Anolis sagrei: one gene and its partners. The protein of the gene in region 3 purifies or fractionates together with the protein of the main gene of each other region. This does not show direct contact. Links are inferred from orthologs where the notes say so. Each region holds a gene or a part of one and is shown on either strand. Other genes may lie near its edges. The genes, in order: THOC1, API5 and DDX39A.

Region 1 (8,090 bases), on a different chromosome or scaffold from region 3:
TAGTTGTTGGCAGAGATATTATTTTTTTATTAGTATGTGCAAATTTTAAGAAATGTCTCCTAAAATATACACAAAATATTTACATGTCAACTTTCTTTTATGACAGAAGATGGAACAGATGTCACTCTCAGGCATACACATGATCCAGACCTGCTTTACTCTGGCACTGATGCACCAAGTGTCTTTGAGTAATGCCATGTGTCTGAAAGGCTTATACTCCTATATTCACTTAGCAATGCATCAAATTAAATTCAGTTTTCCTCCAAAATAATCTGTTTAAACATATGTTGTCTTGATAAATAAATAACACTCTCAAACAATGCACTGAAAATCTAGGCACTCTTTGGGCACGTTAAGGAAATCCTACATTAATGGATACATGACAATTCTACATAGCATAAAACAGTCTAAATGAGAAAGGAAGTTATATTGATTCAAGATGTTCCTGAACTGCATCTGCCACAATCCCTTCCTACTAGCTAGGACTACTGATAGTTACTTGGAGTTACAGCCAGTCTATGTTTAGAGGGCTGAAAAAGTCTTCTACCTAACTTAAGCCAAAATTAGTTGAACCAGATATACATTAGGCTTGTGCACATTAAGCTTGCTTAATTAAGCTCCCTGCTGTCCTTCCCTCGGCAGGCTAAAACCTTTCATTCAGGCAGCCTCTTAAAGATGGCTGTGTTTAAGATCAATTCAGGGTGTTGCTGTGGTTTTTAACTTTGTTTTAATGGTTTTTAATTGAGAATTTTTGAATACTGTTTATATTTATTCCTATGTATAAATATAACCTTTACCTTACTTCGATAAGTAAGGTAAAGGTTAAGGTTTACCCCGATATTAAGTCCAGTCGCATCCTACTCTGGGGCTTGGTGCTCATCTCCATTTCTAAGCTGAAGAGCTGGCATTGTACGAGACATCTCCAAGGTCATGTGACTGGCATGACTTCATGGAGCACCGTTACCTTTCCGCCGGAGCGGCACTTATTTATCTACTCACATTTGCATGTTTTCAAACTGCTAGGTTGGCAGAAGCTAAGGCTAACAGCAGGAGGTAATCCCGTTTCCCGGATTCGAACCGGCAACCTTTCGATAAGCAAATTCAGCAGCTCAGGGGTTTAAATCATTGAGCCACCGGAGACTCCTTAATGTCTGTATATTTTAAATGGTTATGCTAATACTTGTATGTTAAACTGCTTTGAGTCCCCTTCAGGGGAGATAAATCAGGGTATAAATAATAAATAAATAAATTCCCACTGGAATCAATAGGAGTAAATCTTTCCAAAGCACACTTTGGGGTTTGGCCCGATTTCTGTTACTTTGAAGACGAGGGTGGAAAAATTAGCCAGACAAGGCACATCTATATAAACAAAAATGTCATGTTCGTTTGTTGGATTAACAGAACTCAAAAACCAGTGGACCAATTGACACCAAATTTGGACAGCATACACCTAACAACCCAATGTATGTCCTTCACTCAAACATTTTTGGTTTTGTCATTTGGGAGTTGTAGTTGCTGGGATTTATAGTTCACCTACAATCAAAGAGCATTCTGGACTCCACCAATTATGGCATTGAATCAAACGTGGCATACAGGACTCCCATGACCAATAGAAAACACTAGAAGGGTTTGGTGGGCATTGACCTTGAGTTTGGGAGTTGTAGTTCACCTACATCCAGAGAGCACTGTGGACTCAAACAGTGATGGATCTGGACCAAACTTGGCACAAATATTCCATATGCCCAAATATTAACACAGATGGAGTTTGGGGAAAATAGACCTTGCCATTTGGGAGTTGTAGTTACTGGGATTTATAGTTCACCTACAATCAAAGACCGTTCTGAAACCCACCAACGGCATAATTGGGGCAAACTTCCCACACAGAACTCACATAACCAACAGAAAATACTCAAGGCCATCCAGTCCAACTCCCTTCACCAGGGCAAGAAAATGTAATCAAAGCCCTCCTGACAAAGAGCCATCCAGCCATAGATATATATATATAGATAGATAGATAGATAGATATGATTCACACACAGAGAGATAGAGTCTCATAGATTTGAAAGGGAACTCTAAAGAAGGGCAATTATATGTTGCATATTCCAGGGTAGGCAAACCAGACAATCTCTACATCAACACTGACAAAGAAACAACAAGAAATACTGTTTACCCACAAGCATAAAGAAATTACACAGATTAGAAACCATTACTTTATTTTCCAGATCACCAGACTGGGCCACAGCAACGCCTGGCAGGGGACAGCTAGTATATTATATATGAACACATCTAAAATACACACTATGAATGCTGCAGCCTAAATTAGGCCCCAAATCAAATCTGTAATAAAGCAATAATTAAACATTAAAAATAGCATACCATTGAGCAGGTATGGGCCAACTTGGGCCCTCCAGGTGTTTTGGACTTCAACTCCCAGCATACCTAACAGCCTCAGGCCCCTTCCTTTTCCCCCTCAGCCGCTTAAGCGGCTGAGGGGGAAAAGGAAAGGGCATGAGGCTGTTAGGAATGGTGAGAGTTGAAGTCCAAAACACCTGGAGGGCCCAAGTTGGCCCATGCCTGGCCTAGAGTAAGCTGGGCCTAACACAGCAAAGATTTGTTTGTGTGTGATGTTTGAAAGGCAGTGGACATATGGAACAAAACAAAAGAGGCACATATCCAAATCTAATAAGAGCCCAAGGGAGGAAAACAGACAAAGTTAAAACAGTATTTTCGAAAGGTTTGGTCTTCCAGAAGTTTTGGACTTCAACTCCCAGGATTCCCGACTCTGGGCCAAGCTAGCTGGGGCTTCTGGGAGTTGAAGTCCCAAAGAGAAGGCGTGGGAAAGGCTGGGAAGCAACGAAGGGAGGAATATAAACGGCTTCTGCCTTCCTCTCCGAAGTAACAACACCTCACAAGCCGCTCACCATGAAACGCAGCCGAGCCTCAGGCAAGCTGAAGAGCAGCGGCGGCGAGGGAGACATGGTTGCCGCTCCTGACAGAAACACGGCGAGGTCTGCTGACGTCATAACCCCGCGCCAACGCTCCGCCTCGTCCATGCCTGCATTGCTCACAAGAGAAGAAGGAAACAAGGGGGAGAGCGAGTTCGAAAGGGCGGGGCCTCTGTCTCAGCATGGGCGGGGCATAGAGAGGCGAAGTCACATGACTCTCTCTCCGCGCTTTCACTTCACCGTTTTGCCGCTAGGGGCAGTGTATTGCATTCTTGGATAACAATAGCCTGATCCTGTCTAAACCAACGTGAAGGAGAAAAAAGATAGGAAGGAAACATTTTGCAGCCTGTCCATTCTCATCAAAGTGTGCATCTACACTGCAGAATTAATGCACTTTTAACTGCTATGGCTCAGTGCTAAGGAATCCTGGAAGTTGTAGTTTTTCAAGTGAGGATTATATATCTGTGGAATGATGTCAGGATGGGAAAAAGAACTTTTCTCTGCTTCAGGCAAGTGTGAATTTCGCAAAAGATTAGCATTGAACGGCCTTGCAGTTTCAAAGCCTGGCTGCTTCCTGTCTGGGGGAATCCTTTGTTGGGAGGTATTTTGCTGACCCTGATAGATTCTTGTCTGGAATTCCTCTGTTTTTTTGAGTGTGGTTCTTTATTTACTGTCCTGATTTTGGAGTTTTGTTTAATACTGGTAGCCATATTTTGTTTATTTTCATGGTTTCCTCCTTTCTGTTGAAATTGCCCACATGCTTGTGGATTTCAGTGGCTTCTCTGTGTAGTCTGACATGACAGTTGTTGGAGTGGTCCAGCATTCCTGTGTTCTCAAATAAAATGCTGTGCCCAGGTTGGTTCATCAGGTGCTCTGCTATGGCAGACTTCTCTGCTTTATTTATTTATTTAGAGCTTTTATAACCCGGTCTTCTCGACCTCCGAAGAGGGACTCAGGCCGGCTAACAGCAGAAAATTCATACACACATAGAATAAACATAATAGCACCATAATACATTAATACAAAATACATTATAATACAGATCATACAATGGTTGAGTTAGTCTGCAGTGCCTTTCATGTTCCTTGATTCGTGTTTGGGTGCTGCATTTTTTGGTCCCTATGTAGACTTATCCACAGCTGCATGGTATATGGTAGACTCCTCTTGTCCTTTGGTAAATGTAGCATTTGTTGGATTTTCTTAGTGGGTCTGTAGATAGTTTGTAGGGTGTGTTACTTCATAGGCAGTGGTTTTTTGTTTTTGTTTTTTTTTTTTGTCGTGTCAGGAGTGACTCCTGGTGTGAGAGAATTGGCTGTCTGCAAGGACGTTGCCCAGAGGACGCCTGGATGATTTGATGTTTTTATCATCTTTATGGGAGGCTTCTCTCATGTCCCCGCATGAGGAGCTGGAGCTGATAGAGGGAGCTCATCCGCCTCTCCCCGGATTTGAATCTGCGACCTGTCGGTCTTCAGTCCTGCCGGCACAGGGGTTTAACCCACAGCGCCACCAGGGGCTCCTATAGGCAGTGGTGTATTTGATGTATTTGAACCACAGACTAGCTCCTTGTACCACTCAGATGGATATTTAATTTTAAAATATCTGGTTTAGTTTCTAGTGAACGGGAAAGTAAACAATTATTTTTAAAATTGTAAGTACTATACTGCTTAACACTTTGGAGCCTAGAAACTATAACTGTGATTAATTGTTTTTTTCAAAGTTATAGTCCAAGCTCAGGTTCATATGAGCCCTTAATAGTAAATATGGCAAAACACTGCTTCCTTACCTCATAACTGTGTGTGTGTGTATGTGTTTGTATACATGTGGAGATATATAACTCTCCTTCCAACTTTACCTTCCAAAATACTTTCTTATCTAGTAGGTAAATTGGCCTCTCCTTCTTACTGTCACAAACAAAAGCTGCATTGGATAGAAAACATTAGTGTTAAGAATAAATTCTACAGATTGTAACTAGAAGATAAGGAAGATACATTTTATTATTTTGATGAATTCCATGCTTGCCATCCTGGTTAGGAGATTCCAAGAGTTATATTTCCCTAAAGTAACTTTCCCAATATCAAGTCTCGGTACTGCTGGAAAATCAGACTACTGCAAAAACGGTTAGAAAAACACAAAGGTTAACCTTTTTGTCTCCATCCATCGAAGGATAGAATAGCTCCATTATTATAAAAGGATAAAATTCGTTAGTTGCTACAGACTGCAACTATAGCACAACTTGTATAATAATTCTTTAGCAAATGATTGTGTTTGATCCTCTCTTTTTTGCTTGTTCATTTATTTGGAATGACCAAATGTTCAATTTCACAATAAAGCAATGTTGAGTCTGCAGTGGTATGATTCTGATAGAGTGGATTGATGCATGTGCTTGCACAGCAGATTTTAAAAGAGGGAAATCAGGTAGGGAAAAGGGTTCACCTGAGTTCATTGATCATTTCAAGAAGAAAAAGAAACAATGAAGGTTTTTGGGTAAGAAGAGGACACAATTGCTAATATGAGCTGGGTTGGTCCATATGTTAGGGAAAACTACCCTAAAATAAGTAGTGGAGCATCCAAAAACAAACAGGATACAAAAGTTGAGCATCAGCTCACTAGCAAGCAGAGCGTGAAGTGTCGTGTGATGTGGTTGTAAAAAAATTAGAGCTTAGGAGGCAAACATGCAGAGTCCAATCTTTAAAAAAAATCACAAAAGTTTTATTTACAATAATAAATAACTAATTAGATTTCTTCATGGTAAAGAACTGGGTCTGAGCTATTTTAACACCCATCTCTTCTAAGGTTTCAAGAGAGGGAAAAACTCAGTCACTACATCTTTCTTGACACACAAGCAGAGAAAGATCTCAAAGCACACAGCACATACGGGACTTTCCACATATACTAGGTTTCTACTTCCATCCATTTGTTCTCTATTACTACTTTTTAAAGAAATATGCAAGTGATTGAATGAAATTGTAATCAAACAATACAATGTTTCCAGAGCTGTGGTGTTAAATAACGTATTTTTACTCATACACATGTTATTGTATTGTAACTTATTCTCAGCATGTTTTCCCGCCTGTAGCTCTTTATTTAGCTTTGGAGAGATTTTGATGTAGTAACTTAATAACATCTACATGATTTCCCTGCTATGCCTACAGGAAAAAAATGCCACAATGTTGTGAAGTTAAAGCATTGGTGTAGACAAGGTCTCAATTCCAATATAGTGCATAACTCTCAGAGAGAAGAAGTGGTATTTCTTTTCAAGGAGCTGCCATACCTAGTTGTCACCCTGATTGATTCTATACAAAACTCTGAATAGGAAATTGTTCTTTTACTAAAACCATTGCATAGCTCGATGTTTTCATTTCCTCAACTCTCTGGAGACTGGACTCCTCTCCTACCACAAGCTTTAAAACAATACATTTCTGTAAGGCTATTCTGCAGCCTTTCTTTAATAAATCACGTAGAGTACTTCTTGGTTGAAAACCAAATCAAATCAACCAACTACTCTTTATACCAGATTGCTTTTATGGTCTTTGGGGAAAGCTAAATGAAATGTTTCTTGTTTGTGTTGACATTGCTATCTTCAGTGACACATGAACAAATTGTAAAGGCCACTGTTTCATAACAGACCTCTTTTTACTTATAGTTCCCACTACTGTAAAAAAAAAAAAGAGTAGCAATGTTTTGGGTTCTTGTGGTTGAAGAAATCTATACACACAAAGGGGATGGGTATCTTTTTGCCTGGTTACAATTTGGTGCACTTTGGTGACTAAAGAGATATAACTATGGCTGAATTTACACATGGGCTATATTCCTAGCTTGAATGCAAAGTATCCTGCACCAGCTTGACTCCCCTTAGTGTCATATGCAACTGTTTTAATCCAAACTCAGTTGTAAAAAGCATTGACCCCCAAATACCAAAAGGGTGTTAATGAAAAGTTCAAAAGAGAGGCAGACAATAGCAGGATAGTACAGAGAAGCCGAATGTCCCATTTCAGGTCATAAGTCAAGTACCAGAGTTCAAAGTACAAGGTTGAAATTAGAATTTGTAAACTGAGGTTCAAGGATAAGTCCGGAGTTTAGGAATACAAGAAAGCAACACTCCATTGTCATAGCTTCTAGAACTGATGTTGCAGCCAGTAACAAGGTGCCACCTGTGAAGTCCTTAAATCCGAAGTTCTCGGAGGTTACCTGTTGCTGGCTCATTTCTCAACTAGTCTCCAAAACCTGTGCAGCTGAGGCCCTCTTTTTTCCAGGTCCATGAAAGCTGGAACAGTTCCTCTTCCTCAGCCTTCTCCAAGGAACGCCCTTGCACTTGTTCTGCAGGCAGTAACTCCTTCAATGGGTGTTGCTTGAAAGCTTGGTTGAGGAGTTGATGGGCATGGCTAGACTCAAGTTCAAGCACAGAGACTTCAACCAGCCTCTGCTCATCCATGCTTCCCAAACTGGCCATGACACCAGTTTTGCATTGGATCACATTCTTTCCTCAGTAGAAATCAATTTGGATCAAAAGAGGTGTTTCCTGTCTTTCCTGAATTCTTGTTGTATTGGATCACTGTTGATCTTTACCAGGGGTCCTCAAACTTTATTTAACCAAGGGCTGGTTCACTGTTCCTCGGGGGGGGGGGGGGGAGAGACTATAGTTTGAAAGAAAAAAAAACTGAACAAATTTCTATGCACAGTGCACATATTTTTAGTGCAAAAAACCCCCCAAACTAAAATGAAAGAACAATATAATTGTTCTGTCGCACGCTGGGCCTGTAACAGCTGTCTTTTCTATAGGACGTATACTTTAAGCCCAGCGGGAAGCCAGGGCGCCTCAAAGAGAGGTTCTCAGGGATTTTTCTGAAGTGACGGTCTTTAGAGTCTTTAATGATACAACAAAGTCTTTATTATGGAACAAACAACAAATCTTCAATGGTTCAAAAAATACTTCAAGGCTTTCTTAGTTTAGTCCTCAATGGACTGGTACCTGACTTTAATTAACTGTACTTTCTCTATGGGAAAAAAACTCTTTTTAACCTCTCCCAGGCTGATTACTATCTATGCCTCATCAGTGTGGGTCCTACTACCGATTCCAAACGCATCTGGGTATCGAGTAGACCTACTAGCCAAGGCTTGTAGATATTTCAGATGGAGTTCCGTGGA
Region 2 (7,035 bases), on a different chromosome or scaffold from region 3:
TAACACAACTTGTAATGCTAGAAACTTCAGCAGCATGAGTCCTCATGGGTGGCAACAGGCTCAATGAAAGGACACATTCTAGCCTCTTCTCTAGCAACAGCAGCCTAAAACAACAGGAAGATTCCAGGCAGCAAGATTTTTCTGCTACGTAACACACCTAAATAAATCCGAGACATATGTATATCATTTTTTTCTGGTGCAAAGAAGCCTAATAAAGAAAAATATGGAACATAATCTTTACGTGAAGTCTATAATTTTACATACAAGCTTTGCAAGCTTAATTCAGAGGGTAATGTATTGTATTATGTTATGAGGATGTACATAGACTGCTCATACCTCAAAAACCAATATTACAGATGAGACAAAAATGGAAGAATTGTGAAGTGTGCCATTTCTTACAGCAGCAGAAAGAAATTCACTTTTTAAATTTAAGATTTAATTATAAGTCAAATTTCAATGTACCTTAGGAAGCTTTGGATACAAACCAAATCATGGTATGTATCTAAAACATGGCATTGCACTGAGAACACATCTGCAAAGAAGTTACCCAAGAGGGAGTTGTTAGTTGAGGACATGGGTTTGGGGGGGATCCAAAGATCCATCTATGTTGTTGCTGGTATAAATTCTGCCATGTAAAATGCACCTAGAGCTGGTTTTCATTCCTACAGATAACATAGTATTGCATTTAAAAATGAGCAAGGCACACAGTAGATTATGGCAACCCTCTTACAGGATTTCCTTGCCAAGATTTGTTCAGAAGAGGCTTGCCACTGCCTTCTCGGGAGGATGAGAAAGGCCGACTTGTCCGAGCTCAACCAGAGGCTTTCATGCCAGAAGAAAACCCCAGTCTTTGTCCAAACCGTTAGACACTTGCATTCCTGTGGACAGTGTGCCATTGCACTTAATTCAGGAATAAGACATCTTGAACCAAGCAGATCTCTCATTGGCTACAACATGCACACCTTTGCTGATGACTCCCAAATATATTTCTCCATGCCTTCAAAAACAGCTTGAGATAAGGATAGCATATCTCCTCTGAATGAATGCCTGGAGGAGATAATGGGCTGGATGAGAAAAAATAAGTTAAAACTGAATCCAGACAAAACAGAGGAGCGTGCCATCAAAGGTCCTCATCTGGGGATGGAGGTTTGTCAACTAGTTCTAGATAGGGTTACACTCCCCCTGAAAGACTGTGTTTGCAGTTTGGGAGTACTCCTGGATCTGTCTCTCCAAATGTCAGTCCAGGTAGATGCGATAAGTCAGAACTGCCGTCAGCTTCATCTGCTACACCAGCTGCACCCCTTTCTAGATTTGGAGGCCCTGAAGATGCTAATGCACACACTGGTAACCTCAAGGTTCGACTTCTGCAATGCACTTTACATTGGGCTACCCTTGTACCAAGATTGGAAACTCTAGGTAAAGGTTTTCCCCTGACATTAAGTCCAGTCGTGTCCAACTCTGGGGTGTGGTGCTCATCTCCATTTCTAAGCCGAAGAGCCGGCGTTGTCCATATACATCTCCAAGGTCATGTGGCCAGCATGACTGCATGGAATGCGGTTACCTTCCCACCGGAGTGGTACCTATTGATCTACTCACATTTGCATGTTTTCAAACTGCTAGAATGGCAGAAACTGGAGCTAACAGTGGAAGCTCACGCAGTTTGTCGGAATCGAACCTGCGACCTTTCAATCAACTAGCTCAGCAGCTCAGCGCTTTAACCCACTGTGCCACCAGGAGGTCTTCGGAAATTCTAGTTGGTTCAAAATATGGCAGCCAGATTGGTTACAGGAAGATCTAAGAGTCAGCATATTATACGTATCCTAAAATCACTCCACTGCCTGCCAATTAGTTTCCAAGCAAAGCACAAAGTGTTGGTTTTGACTTTCAAAGCCTAACATGGTTTGGATCCAGGTTATCTAAAGGACTGCCTTCTCCCACCCAATCCACCCTACACACTTAGGTCCTCTGGGGGGAGGCTACACCAATTAGCCAGAACCTGACTGGCAACCACCACCCAGAGGACCTTTTCATGGGTAGCATTAAGGCTGTGGGGCTACCGATCAGCTGTCAGAATTTAAGGCACAAGTGAAGACCCGTCTCTTCCAGCAGGCCTACCCAGTCTTTAAATATAAACATGCATTTTAATGCATGTCCTTTGTTTAATCTTTGTTTTGTCTGTTTTAATATGTATTTCATATTGGCGTGTAACTTTTATGGAGGTACATTTTAGTTTGTATATTTGTAGCGTTTTTGCTGTGTTTATGTATTTTAATTGCTTTGTAACCCGCCTTCAGTCATGAGAAGAGGCGGGTATGAATAAAAAAAAATATTATTGGCAAAGAGCGAAAAGGCTTTCTAATGTAAATGCAGCGATACAATTCCAAACTCTTTTGGGCGTTTGTAGAAGCGGTCGAGAATTCACACCAATAACCCTGGATGCAAAATCTAGCGTCGACCTTGGCTCCCAACACATGAAAGAGCAGAATACACTTCATAAGCGAGCCCGGGAACCGAGGGAGGCGTGGAAAGAGCTTCCAGAAGTCCCCCCCGCAAAACAGACTTCCCACTGAGCAAACCAGAGGCCTCAGAGAGGCACCGAGGCCTGCCAGGGCTAAATGGGGGAGAGGATCCGAGCCCGGCTCCCTTCATCGCGAGTCCGCAAGGCCCCTAGCTAAGGCCTTTTGCTCCCTCGTTCTCCTTCCCCACTCCCCTCGCCCGAAGACGGGGCCCAGGTGCCTGGAGCTCCGGGCTGAGCCACCCGGCAGGCCCTGCGCCCTTCCCCACCTCGGCCGCGGTCTCCTTGGCGTCGGCTAAGATGCCGTAGTTGCGGTACAGCTCCTCCACGGTGGGCATGGCGGCGGCGAGGGCTGCGCTTCCTCCTCCTGCTCAGGCCTGCCAAACCCTCGGCTTCTGCGAAAGCGACAGCAACAGAGACGACAACGACAACAGCTTTCCTTCACCACCCCCACCGCGAACGGAAGCGCCGTGTCAAGCCGCGCAGGCTTATCGCAACATCCGGCGCCGGGGAAGCAGGCCGCGCGTGCCCCACAGCGACCCCTGTCGGCGCGGAGGGCGAGCTGCAGCTGGAGAGTTGGCGGGGACAGTGGCAGCACCAGAAGAAGCAGGAGCAGCAGAAGCAGCAGCAGCAGCAGAAGAAGCAGAAGCAGCACCAGAAGAAGAAGCAGAAGCAGCACCAGAAGAAGAAGAAGCAGCAGAAGAAGCAGAAGCAGCAGCAGCAGAAGAAGAAGCAGAAGCAGCACCAAAAGAAGCAGCAGTGGAAGCAGCACCAGAAAAAGCAGCACCAGAAGAAGAAGCAGAAGCAGCAGCACCAGAAGAAGCAGGAGTGGAAACAGCAGCAGCAGCAGAAGAAGAAGCAGAAGCAGCACCATAAGAAGCAGGAGCGGAAGCAGCAGCAGCAGAAGAAGCAGAAGCAGCACCAGAAGAAGCAGGAGCAGCAGAAGAAGAAGCAGAAGCAGCACCAGAAGAAGCAGGAGTGGAAGCAGCAGCACCAGAAGAAGCAGGAGCAGCAGAAGAAGAAGCAGAAGCAGCACCAGAAGAAACAGGAGCGGAAGCAGCAGCAGAAGAAGAAGCAGAAGCAGCACCAGAAGAAGCAGGAGCAGCAGCAGAAGAAGCAGAAGCAGCACCAGAAGAAGCAGGAGCGGAAGCAGCAGCAGAAGAAGAAGCAGAAGCAGCACCAGAAGAAGCAGGAGCAGCAGAAGAAGAAGCAGAAGCAGCACCATAAGAAGCAGGAGCGGAAGCAGCAGCAGCAGAAGAAGCAGAAGCAGCACCAGAAGAAGCAGGAGCAGCAGAAGAAGAAGCGGAACCAGCACCAGAAGAAGCAGGAGCGGAAGCAGCAGCAGCAGAAGAAGCAGAAGCAGCACCAGAAGAAGCAGGAGCAGCAGAAGAAGAAGCAGAAGCAGCACCAGAAGAAGCAGGAGCGGAAGCAGCAGCACCAGAAGAAGCAGGAGCAGCAGAAGAAGAAGCAGAAGCAGCACCAGAAGAAGCAGGAGCGGAAGCAGCAGCAGCAGAAGAAGCAGGAGCAGCAGCAGAAGAAGCAGGAGCAGCAGCAGAAGCAGCAGCAGCAGGAGCAGCTGCTGCTGCTGCGTATTCATATATTTATCGTGTTGGAAGGGAATTGAAAATACAGTTATAACTTATAAAAAACCACAAACAAAGTTTTAAAACCCTTGGCATTACACTAGATTTCCTTTGACCAGAAGCTGGCCACTTGGAGTGCCTCTGGTGTCGTTGTAAGGAGGTCCTCCATTGTGCATGTGGTAGGGCTCAGACCGCATTGTAGTAAGTGGTCTGTGGTCTGCTCTTCTCCACACTCGCATGCTGTGGACTCCACTTTGTGGCCCCATTTCTGAGGATTGGTTCTGCATCTTGTGGTGCCAGAGTGCAGGCTGTTCAGCGCTTTCCAAGCTGCCCAGTCTTATGTGTACCCAGGAGGGAATCATATTTGGTATCAGCTATGGATTGAGGTTCTGGGTTCAAGCCTGTCACTTTTGGACTCTCACCTGCTGAGGTGTTCCTGCGAGTATCTCTGTAAATCTTAGGAAGCTATTTCTTGATTTAAGGTGTTGGCGTGCTGGCTGATATCCGAACAGAGAATGGACTGGAGATTTCACTTCCTTGGTCCTTTCATTATTGGCTGCTGCTGCAAGATATCTGCCCTTGTGCTTTGCTACTCTGCTGGTGAATACGCATGCCTAGCATGGAATACATGGCACCACATTAAAACAGTGGATGTGACTCTTAATGAGACATGGCGCATTATCACAGGATGTCTACACCCCACACCGATGGAAAAATTATACTGTTTCGCTGGTATTGCATCACCTGACATCTGTTGGGATGTAGCAGCCAGTAATGAAAGGACCAAGGCAATGGTCCAGTCCATCCCTTGTTCAGATATCAGCCAGCACGCCAAAGTCTTAAATCAAGAAACAGCTTCCTAAGACTGAGAAAGATACTTGCATGGACACCTCAACAAGTAAGAATCCAAAAGTGGCAGGTTAAAACAAAGCACTTTAATTAGTGGGTGAGGCCAGATGAGAAACTCCCTCCTGGGCAGGCACACAGAAGAGTGGATGACCTGGAACATGCTAAACAGACTGCGCTCTGGCACCACTAGATGCAGAGCTAACAGAGTTTGGAGTATTTTGGATTTTGCAATTCCCAATAAGGAATGTCCAACCCTTATTGTAGTCAGTCCTCCATATCTACAGATTCAGCCATCTATGGCTTGAAAATACATAAATTTAAAAACACCAAAAGCAAAAAACAATTGATTTTGCCATTTAATGTACGGCACACAATTTCATGGCTCCGTGGTATAAAAGAGGACTTTGAACAACCTCAACACATTGAGAGGGAATAACACGGGTGACCACCCCTTTTAGCGTAGAGATTTGAGAAATGTCCTTCTTTTTAATATTTTTTTATTGAATACAATATAACATGGTCTCTGAGCAGATAATAAATGTCTGTGGTGAGCTTACATTGTGATAAAGTATTTCTATATTATCTTTTGACCTTTTTTACAAGTTTGTTCTCATTACATTTTTTCTCTCCCACCTCTTCCTACCTCCTTTCCCAACCCCACCCACCACATTGCTCATTTCTCTTTAATTACATCTGTTTTGTCCTCCTATGAACCTTCTTCAGTGTAATAATGTCCGTTTCATATTTCATATTTTTCCATCTTTCCATCCCCAGGCTATTACCGCCTTTCCTGCTGGAATCATTGCTTTACATAGATTCTTTGCAGCAATATTTTTGTTCCCTATAATTGCCATTAACATAAGTTCCATGATGACCTGGATTATTATTTTGAATAGTTTACCCATTTTTATTATCTTATTCCAAAAATTGTTATATTTAAACAATCCCACTCCATATGTGCATACCAGCCTTTCTCTACTTTAGAATGCCAACACATTGGACGTAGTCCTATTCCCATATTTGCTAGTTGGGCTGGTATCCAATGACATTTCCAGATAAATTTGCTTTCTAACTCTATATTTTTCCTGTTTAATTTTCTTAACCCACTTCTTTATTTCCTCTATAGTTTGTTTTGTGAGTGGCCCTTCCTTCTGCCATTTATTTTTTAGTGTTCTTACTATATATTCATCATCTTGTATCATCATTTTATACATACTACTAATCCTTTCTCTGTTTTCTGTCCTTTCGTAAATATACTTTCCAACTTGCTTTTTCTGCCTAGACATTCCCCATATTTCTCTTGTTTAAGTTTGAGCCCCCGGTGGCGCAGTGGGTCAAACCGCTGAGTTGCTGAACTTGCTGATCGAAAGGTCACCGGTTCAAATCGGGGGAGTGGGGTAAATTCCCACTGTTAGCCCCAGATTCTGCCAACCCAGCAGTTCGAAAACATACAAATGTGAGTAGATCAATAGATACTGCTCTGGCAGGAAAGTAACAGCGCTCTATGCAATCATGCTGGCCACATGACCTTGGAGGTGTCTATGGACAATGCTGGCTCTTCAGCTTAGACATGGAGATATGCACCAACCTGCAGAGTTGGTGCTCATCTCCATGTGCTCATGGACTTAATGTCAGGGGAAAACCTTAACTTTACTAAGTTTGTTATATAGGCCTAATACTTTTATCCAATTTTATATCCCACTTTATCTGTTATCCCACCTATTGCAATCAGTTGCCCATTTATGTCATACAAATCTGGTGGCGCAGTGGGTTAAACCCCTGTGCTGGCAGGACTGAAGACCAACAGGTCAGAGGTTCAAATCCGGGGAGAGCGTGGATGAGCTCCAGCTCATCATGTGGGGACATGAGAGAAGTCTCCCACAAAGATGATGAAACATCAAAAAACATCTGAGCATCCCCTGGGCAACGTCCTTGCAGACGGCCAATTCTCTCACACCAGAAGCGAGTTGCAGTTTCTCAAGTCCCTCCTGACATGACAAAAACAAAAACAAAACACCATGTAGGGTCGAACTCCTTTTCATATATGCTTTCTAAGGGTGCCCACTTAAATATTTCAGGCATCCAGAG
Region 3 (7,537 bases):
GAGCCTTGCAGAAAGACAGTTAAGCCAGTGATGGCCATTAAGTCTGTAGACATAACACAAACTTGGTGGCATGGCTCCCATGATTGGAATATAACAATTGAGGGATAAACTATATGTATTTAAAAACAACAGATGGGGAAAGAAAAGGAGGGAGAACCGCATTATATTTCAAATTCATAGCTTCTTGTCCAGAAATCTATGGGAGCAATCTAAAGATCAGTGGAGACCACCTGAGAAACAATAAAAACAACATGGCAGACCACCAAACTAAGAAGACGTAGTAGATTACATTTTTCTGAAACAAATCTTTAAAATCTCACAGATATAAGAACGGATAGTTCAGTTATTCTGATATTGGCTAGGTGATTTGCTCTACTAGCCACAAGTTCTGCAAATATTCTCCGCTTTCAAAAGTTGAAGGAACAAGGGAGCCAGGAGTCTTAGACTCAATCTTAACCAATAGAGAGGAGTTGGTTAGTGGAATCAAAAAGTTGGTACTTTTAAGGGAACAGTGATCATGTAATGCTAGACTTCATTATTGTTGAACAGAGTAAAGTAGTTTGGATTTCAGGAAAACTACTTTTAATCAAACTCAAGGAAATACTGGGCAGAATCTCATTGTCAGAGATGCTAAAGGAAATAGACACCCAGCATAGGAAGGATTTCATGGAGAAGAAACTGCTAAAAACACCATCACAAAAATTACATGAAAGCAGAAAAGATTTAAGCATCTTTTAAAAATCAGTGTGGTTACACAGTAAAGTGAATGGAAACAAGGGCAAATCATCAAGGAATACAGAGATATATTCCAAGTTTGCAGGAATAGTTTAAGAAAAGTGGAGACAAAATATGGGAGAACTGCAACACCCTAAACCATGTTTATTCAAAGGAATAATACACTCTTTAAAGTTGCTACCATACATTATTTTTCCCAATTAAAGTATTATTTCCCAGGTTACTTGTAGCATAACAATAATTATCCCCACATGCAGTAATGGGCACCTCTCTAACCACATATCTAATGACCAGAAAGCAACTTACAGAGTCACATACAGCACATACAAATGGCATACATTATCTTTCCTTCTCTGCTCAGATATTTATGTTGCAATCAGAAAAGATGATATGAAAGAGGCCAAAAGAAAGCTTTTCTCTAATCTCAAGCTTTCTCTTTACTTTCTTTATTTTGATCACACCAGGAGTCTTATTTATTGCACCTTATTAGTGATCTAGAACTGTCTGTACGCCCCATTCTTTTCCGAAATTCTATCCGAGTTATATTTCACCTGGTCTTGTCCAGCATTATTTTTAAAATTTTAACTATTACATTTGGCCCAGCCATTGGTTTTTAAATGTTATTGTGTTATTGTCGATGTTTATTGCCTATTTTTTGTTTATGAGCTTTATTTTATTGTTTTGTATTACTGCTGTTGTTGTTTTTTGCTGATGTATTGTGGGCTCGACCTCATGTAAGCCGCACCGAGTCCCTTGGGGAGATGGTAGTGGGGTATAAATAAAGCTTTATTATTATTATTATTATCATTATTATTTAATTGGGGGGAGGGGTGTTGAAGGGACATCTATCATGCTTTTCAAAAAGGTTCCTATTTTGTGGGTTTTAACAGCCATTTTAAGTGCATTTATTATATTTTAATGTTTTTACCTTAAACCACACTATATTATTAAGTTGGTTTTCTTTTAATTTTTATATTGCATTTTTTAAAACTATGACCAAAGTTTGCATGGCTCGGGGAGGTGTCGAACCCTGGTCTCCAGGGCTATACTCTAGCACTCAGGCCATTCTGCCAGGCTGGCTTTCTCATCCATATACCATAAATGATAGATCACTAGGCATCTATACAGCGTAAAACTGACATGAGAACAAAGCACAACAAGTGCAAGCACTCCCTTTGAAAACTACTTTTCATTTTATAAACCACGGAGGACAAAGACATTCTCCAGATCTTGGTGGACTGCAACTCCCGTCAGCCTTTGGGAGGGCCCTCAATAATGAAAAATGTTGGGAGCCATTGTCCACCAACCTCTGCTGGGTTATGCTTTGCCCCCCTCTAGAATCATAGAATCAAAGAGTTGGAAGAGACCTCATGGGCCATCCAGTCCAACCCCATTCTGCCAAGAAGCAGGAAATTTGCATTCAAAGCACCCCCGACAGATGGCCATCCAGCCTCATAATAATAAACATATAAAGAAAATACAGTTCTGTTGCACTGGGAGCCACTAGGGGGCACTACAGACAGAAGAATAGTCCATTTCATAGGGGTGGTAGAGGAAAACCATTACCCCGTTTTTCTATTATTCCCCCCCCCCCCCACTTCCTCATACTGTTTATATGGGAAGTGGGGAGGGGGAATAACGAGCGAAAACGGGGGGAATGGTTTTCCTCCCCCTAAAATGGACTCTCCTTCCTTCTCTGGCACCCCCTAGTGGCCTCTGCCCTGATAATGGGACAATACCGAAAAAACAGAGGTTAGCTCCAGTACTAACATCCGCCTCGTAGCAAGGCTGCTTAAGAACCAGCAAGGCTTTACTCCCTGCTTTTTCTAATATGTGACATGCCTTGCAATTCTTTTCAAGCACCTCCCACTAGTTGGCATATTGGTTTGTAGACCAAACAATGGCCGCCAACGTGGCTGCTCTCCCTTTCTTCCAGACCTTAAGGCCTCTCTCCCCGAAGGCCGTTTTCGTCTGCTAAAGGGTGACTGGGGATACCGCGGCGAGGCGGGGAAAGAGAGGGCCCCGCGGGGGCAGGTGGCAAAGGCCAGAGGACCGGGACTAGCCTGGGCCCTGCCGCGGGCCGGAGCGTTTGCGGCTTAGGACACAGGCGCCGCCAGGCCTCGCCCCGGACAACGGCTGTGGCCCAAAAGGCGGAGCAGCGGGGACTCACTCACCCTCCGGCTCCAACTCGCGCCTTCGTCCTCGCTTCTGCACAGACCGCGCTGCCACTGAGACGCCCCGGAAGTCCCTCCCGTTCGCACTGGCCGCCGATGAGTAAGAGCCCGCCGCCATTCCCAAGCCGCCAATGGGAACCTCACTCCTCAGAGCCGTCAATCAAGGTTCTCCGTCCCCTGATTGGCTCACGGAAGATGACGTACGGTTTCTCATCTCCTTCCCTGGTCTTTAGGAAGGTGGGAGGAAGGAAGAGAGGGAACGAACTGGAGAAAAATGGCTGCGGGAGGAAAGAGCGTGGATGTATCGCCAATGAAGCATTAATGCCGTTTTGTACCATGTTAACTGCCCTGACTCAATGCTATACAGAACAGACATCCTCAAACTACGACCCTCCGGCTGTTTGGGACTCCAGCTCCCAGAAGCCCAAGTCAGCTTGTTCATTGGTCAGGAATTCTGGGAGTTGAAGGCCCAAACAGCTGCAGGGTTGCCGTGTGAGGGTGGCTCTCCCAAAGTAAAGCCCAAACAGCTACCAAGCCACAGTTTGGGATTGTGTGCAATAGAATCATGGGAGTTGTCGTTTCAGAAGGAGCCATTCCAGACAGGCCGTATATCCCAGCATCTGATCCCAGCTTTTCTGTTTATCCCAGATTATCTGGCAGTGAGGACTCATATAATCAAGAAAACCTGGGATATAGGGGTCCTAAGTCTTCATCCTTTTCTACAAACTACAACTCCCATGATTTCAGACTGTAGAAAAAGTTTGTTTTCTGTGAGCAGCCGACTGTATAGTTTCAGTCTCTCTCTTCTCCTTAAAACTAATACCCTGCTGGTGGACCACATTGGATTGACTGCCACAGAAGTGGCCTTGTTATGTCTCCCAAGAAGTTGCCCTATTTATTTATTTTAAAAAAACTTATTTGTCCTGTAACAAGACATTGCATTGTGAGCTAAGAGTATTCCTCTGTTCCTCTGCCAACTGCAGAGAGACATCATACTGGTAATGAAAACCCGCATAGTTAAAACAATGGTATTCCCCATAGTAACCTACAGATGTGAGAGCGGGACCATAAGGAAGGCTGAGCAAAGGAAGATAGATGCTTTTGAACTGTGGTGTTGGAGGAAAGTTCTGAGAGTGCCTTGGGCCGCAAGAAGATCCAACCAGTCTATACTTCAGGAAATAAAGCCTGACTGCTCGTTGGAGGGAAGAATAGTAGAGGCAAAGATGAAGTACTTTGGCCACATAATGAGAAGACAGGAAAGCTTAGAGAAGACAATGATGCTTGGAGAAATGGAAGGAAAAGGGGCCAACCAAGGGCAAGATGGATGAATGGTATCCTTGAAGTGACTGGTTTGACTCTGAAGGAGCTGGAGGTGGTGATGGCCAACAGGGAGCTCTGGCATGGGCTGGTCCATGAGGTCACAAAGAGTCGGAAGTGACTGAACGAATAAACAACAACACAATCTTCTCACAACGCTATGATATGTAGACCTAAGACTCATACAAGGGTGGTTTGGTTTGTACATCTTTGCTTTTTATTTAAACACATGTTTTGTTCCATGATCAGAGCTAAAAGTGGCACATATAGCAACAGCAGGCCGACTAGAGAGTCCGAAGACTTGCCTGGATGCCCCCAAGTGAGGCCTAGTAGTAGTACCATAAGCCAAGGGGTACTGGCGTCGTGCAATTTAGAATGGTTGTGGATAGTGAGATCCAAGCCACTGTGGGTTTAGCCTGGTGAGAAAAGAAGCCAGTATTCCAGAATAAATCTCACCAAGTTGAAGAGAAGCCACCAAGGTATTTATTTCTGTTCCAGCTGGAAAAGGATGACGGCTGCAGTAATCTGCTGAAGAAACCACCATGGTTCCAATACAAAAAACTAGACAATATATACAGTTTTTTCCATTCAAATTTCCCGCCCGCTTTGCTGTGATTGGTTGTGACATCAGCAAGCCAGGAAGAGCGGCCAGGGGGCTGGTGTGGCTCATCCAATGGGAGCCTGAGCCCTCCTTCAGCTGCAAGGAGGTGTGGCAACAGTAAAACAAAAGAAAATAGTAGCTTGATGATAGGATTATGAGTGGCCCATCCCAGATCCTATTGACAGGCAATCGAAGTGATTGCTGTAAGCCCTCAAGCCCAACCTAGCTATTGCTACAGAGTTTTGAAATAACATTTCTCTCTGGCCCCTTGGAGTCAACCCATTGTTAAAAAATACACCGATATTAATATCTTGATGATCTCCTAATCCAGTTTACTGGGGAAGGAAATGCCATTGTTTTGGGAAGCTGTGACATCCCCTTCTCCTCGAAGAGGGGAAAAATCCTTTTCGAAGAGTGATTAAAGTGTCCAAAAGTTTACCCAATTCTTAAGTGGCTTGATCCTCTGAGGCTTAAGAAAAGGGGTCATCCAGTTATTGTCTATATTGCGAAATGCTTGAGAGTCCATTCAACAAAATGCAGACCCAGGGCAGCTTGTGGCACCTGAGTCAGGAAGAGCTGGCTAGAGTTCATAAAAAGGTCACCTTTTCCTCAGATTTTGATACAGATGTACATATAAATCATATAAAATCAACTATATAAATAAAAATTCAATGTCTGTTTGTGGGATTTACATAACTCAAAAACCACTGGACAAATTGACACTACATTTGGACACAATACACCTATCAGGCCAACAAGTGACCATCACTCATAAAAACACTGAAAAACACAGCAGAAGAGACTTAAAAAGCAAAAAAATTACAATGCATGCGCAAAACCACATAGATACACACAACACATATACACAGACTGGGCCACAGCAACGCCTGGCAGAGGACGGCTAGTTAATAAAATACAGTTACTGTGCTGGTACGGCTGTACCAGGAGCTCCAACTTTCTAATGAGTGTTTGCATGTATTCCAAAGTTCCATGCATTTTGCAATAAGGTGGCTTCCCTTGGTTTGCAATCATAGGGCCAATGACCCATCAATTATCATTATGTTCTTTAGTTCTGCCCCTTCTTCTGGGTTAAGGAGGGAAAAAGGGGACCTCTAGTTCAGTTCACACAGAGAAGCCTTTCGTACAGGACGTGAATCAGTTCCACCTGTAGAAAGCTTCGTCTTTTACAGCTTTGCTGGGGGGATCCAGTCCCACAACTCTACAGATAACTACAGCATAGCCTTTGTTGGGGAATTTAGTTCCACAACTCTACAGCCAGCTCTTTGCTGGAGAAATACAGCTCTGCGGTTTACAGCCAGCCTTCCCTGGGAATTGAAAGCCTTCTTTCCTCTTGGAAATCTGCTAAATGACTCTGTTTGGTAAGGACCACTCGCGGCAGCCATAAAGCAATTTGGTGTAGGGGTCCATGCCAGCAGAGCTTAAGTCAGATTGCCCAGGGAGGGATCAAGGATTTCCCTTGTAGAAGGAAGAAACAGTTTATGAAGAAAGTTGCCTGTCCCTTGTGGACACGATTTAAGCAAGCCACCAGTTGATTCAAAGCCTTGAAGTATTTGTTTGATTTATTGAAGATTTAAGCAACAATAAAATCTTTGTTGAACTTTCTAAGTCTTTAAAAGAACTTTGTGTGGGGAAATCCGAAAGGCCTCTCAGCCAAAGCACCCCCGGCGGCCTATTGGGCACACAGAAACACGTCCTGTCTATAGACTCGTTCACAGGCCCAACATGTGACAGCACAGTTACAGATAGGCACACATTAGGGTCCATGGCAGTTAGGGGAAAACATGAAGTTCATAAGGGCAACGATCAGCTGAAGTCCATTCATAAAAAAGTTCATTCATATATCGTTCCAGCCTGGTGTCCTTGGCAAAACTAAGAATTTCCTGATTATGAACTATCTTTTATTGGGGGGGAGGGGGGGGGTCACCTCCGACTACAATGGTCTCAGACAGCGCTAATATAAACAATCTTATCGGCCCTGCGCACAAGGTGCATGTGAAACATACATTAACTTCCTGTTTGGAGAGATCCTGGTCTCCTCTTCCAGACAGAGGTAGGTATTCCAAAATGGGATGCTGGGATGGACCAGGCTGAGACCACTACCATAGAGCTCAGTCCCTAGCGCGGCACGGAGGGGGGCGTTGAAACATCACTTCCGCCTAGCATGGTCGCTCAATCTCGGCCAGCCAATGCGTCGCGAGAAAACCTCCGCCGGGATTGGATGGTTTTTAAGCAGCCAACGAGTTGCCGCGGAGAGAGCGTCCCTTTCGCGCCCTCTGTCGCCGGAGCAAGAGGCAGCCGGTGCCGCCTTCCTTCCTGCCGCCTCCTGGAGCTGCCGCCATGGCCATGCTGCCCGCGGGCCGCCTGGGCGCCACTCTCCGCCTTTTGCTCCGGTACGAGGGAGGGAGGGACGGAGGGACGGAAGGACGGAAGGGAAGCGAGAGGTCACCCGCGGAGACGCGTCCCTGAGCCGGCCTGCAGGAGCCAGGCTTCCCGCCCAGCAGCCCTCTTTGCGGAGGCAGGCCTCAGGTCGCCTTTGCACCAATCCTGAAGTTGTTGCTAGGCCCCTTGTTACAGGTTGCACCTTCCTTATCCGAAATGCTATCAGGATTTGTTTCCCCCCAGATTTTGGAATACCTGTTATCCAAAATGTTTTGGAAAGCATCTAAACACGCAGTTTGACCCCACTCTC

The links.
Region 1: the proteins of DDX39A (region 3) and THOC1 purify together in Homo sapiens (affinity purification with mass spectrometry; 3 studies listed by BioGRID and IntAct, with this or other methods). This does not show direct contact. The link is inferred for Anolis sagrei from reciprocal best matches to the Homo sapiens genes DDX39A and THOC1.
Region 2: the proteins of DDX39A (region 3) and API5 fractionate together in Homo sapiens (co-fractionation; 3 studies listed by BioGRID, with this or other methods). This does not show direct contact. The link is inferred for Anolis sagrei from reciprocal best matches to the Homo sapiens genes DDX39A and API5.

The regions. Positions count from the first base shown.
Region 1 is NC_090024.1:60,858,311-60,866,400, forward strand, and holds the start of THOC1 (THO complex subunit 1), read right to left. Parts: upstream 3,065-8,090; 5' UTR 3,054-3,064; coding exon 2,922-3,053; intron 1-2,921. UniProt on the Homo sapiens protein: Component of the THO subcomplex of the TREX complex which is thought to couple mRNA transcription, processing and nuclear export, and which specifically associates with spliced mRNA and not with unspliced pre-mRNA.
Region 2 is NC_090021.1:275,016,626-275,023,660, reverse strand, and holds the start of API5 (apoptosis inhibitor 5), read right to left. Parts: upstream 2,854-7,035; coding exon 2,785-2,853; intron 1-2,784. Other genes in the region: golgin subfamily A member 6-like protein 24, read left to right, coding at 2,852-3,040, 3,072-4,139. UniProt on the Homo sapiens protein: Antiapoptotic factor that may have a role in protein assembly. Negatively regulates ACIN1. By binding to ACIN1, it suppresses ACIN1 cleavage from CASP3 and ACIN1-mediated DNA fragmentation. Also known to efficiently suppress E2F1-induced apoptosis.
Region 3 is NC_090022.1:113,422,593-113,430,129, forward strand, and holds the start of DDX39A (ATP-dependent RNA helicase DDX39A), read right to left. Parts: upstream 3,017-7,537; 5' UTR 2,910-3,016; intron 1-2,909. Other genes in the region: MRPL12 (large ribosomal subunit protein bL12m), read left to right, coding at 7,186-7,238. UniProt on the Homo sapiens protein: Helicase that plays an essential role in mRNA export and is involved in multiple steps in RNA metabolism including alternative splicing. Regulates nuclear mRNA export to the cytoplasm through association with ECD.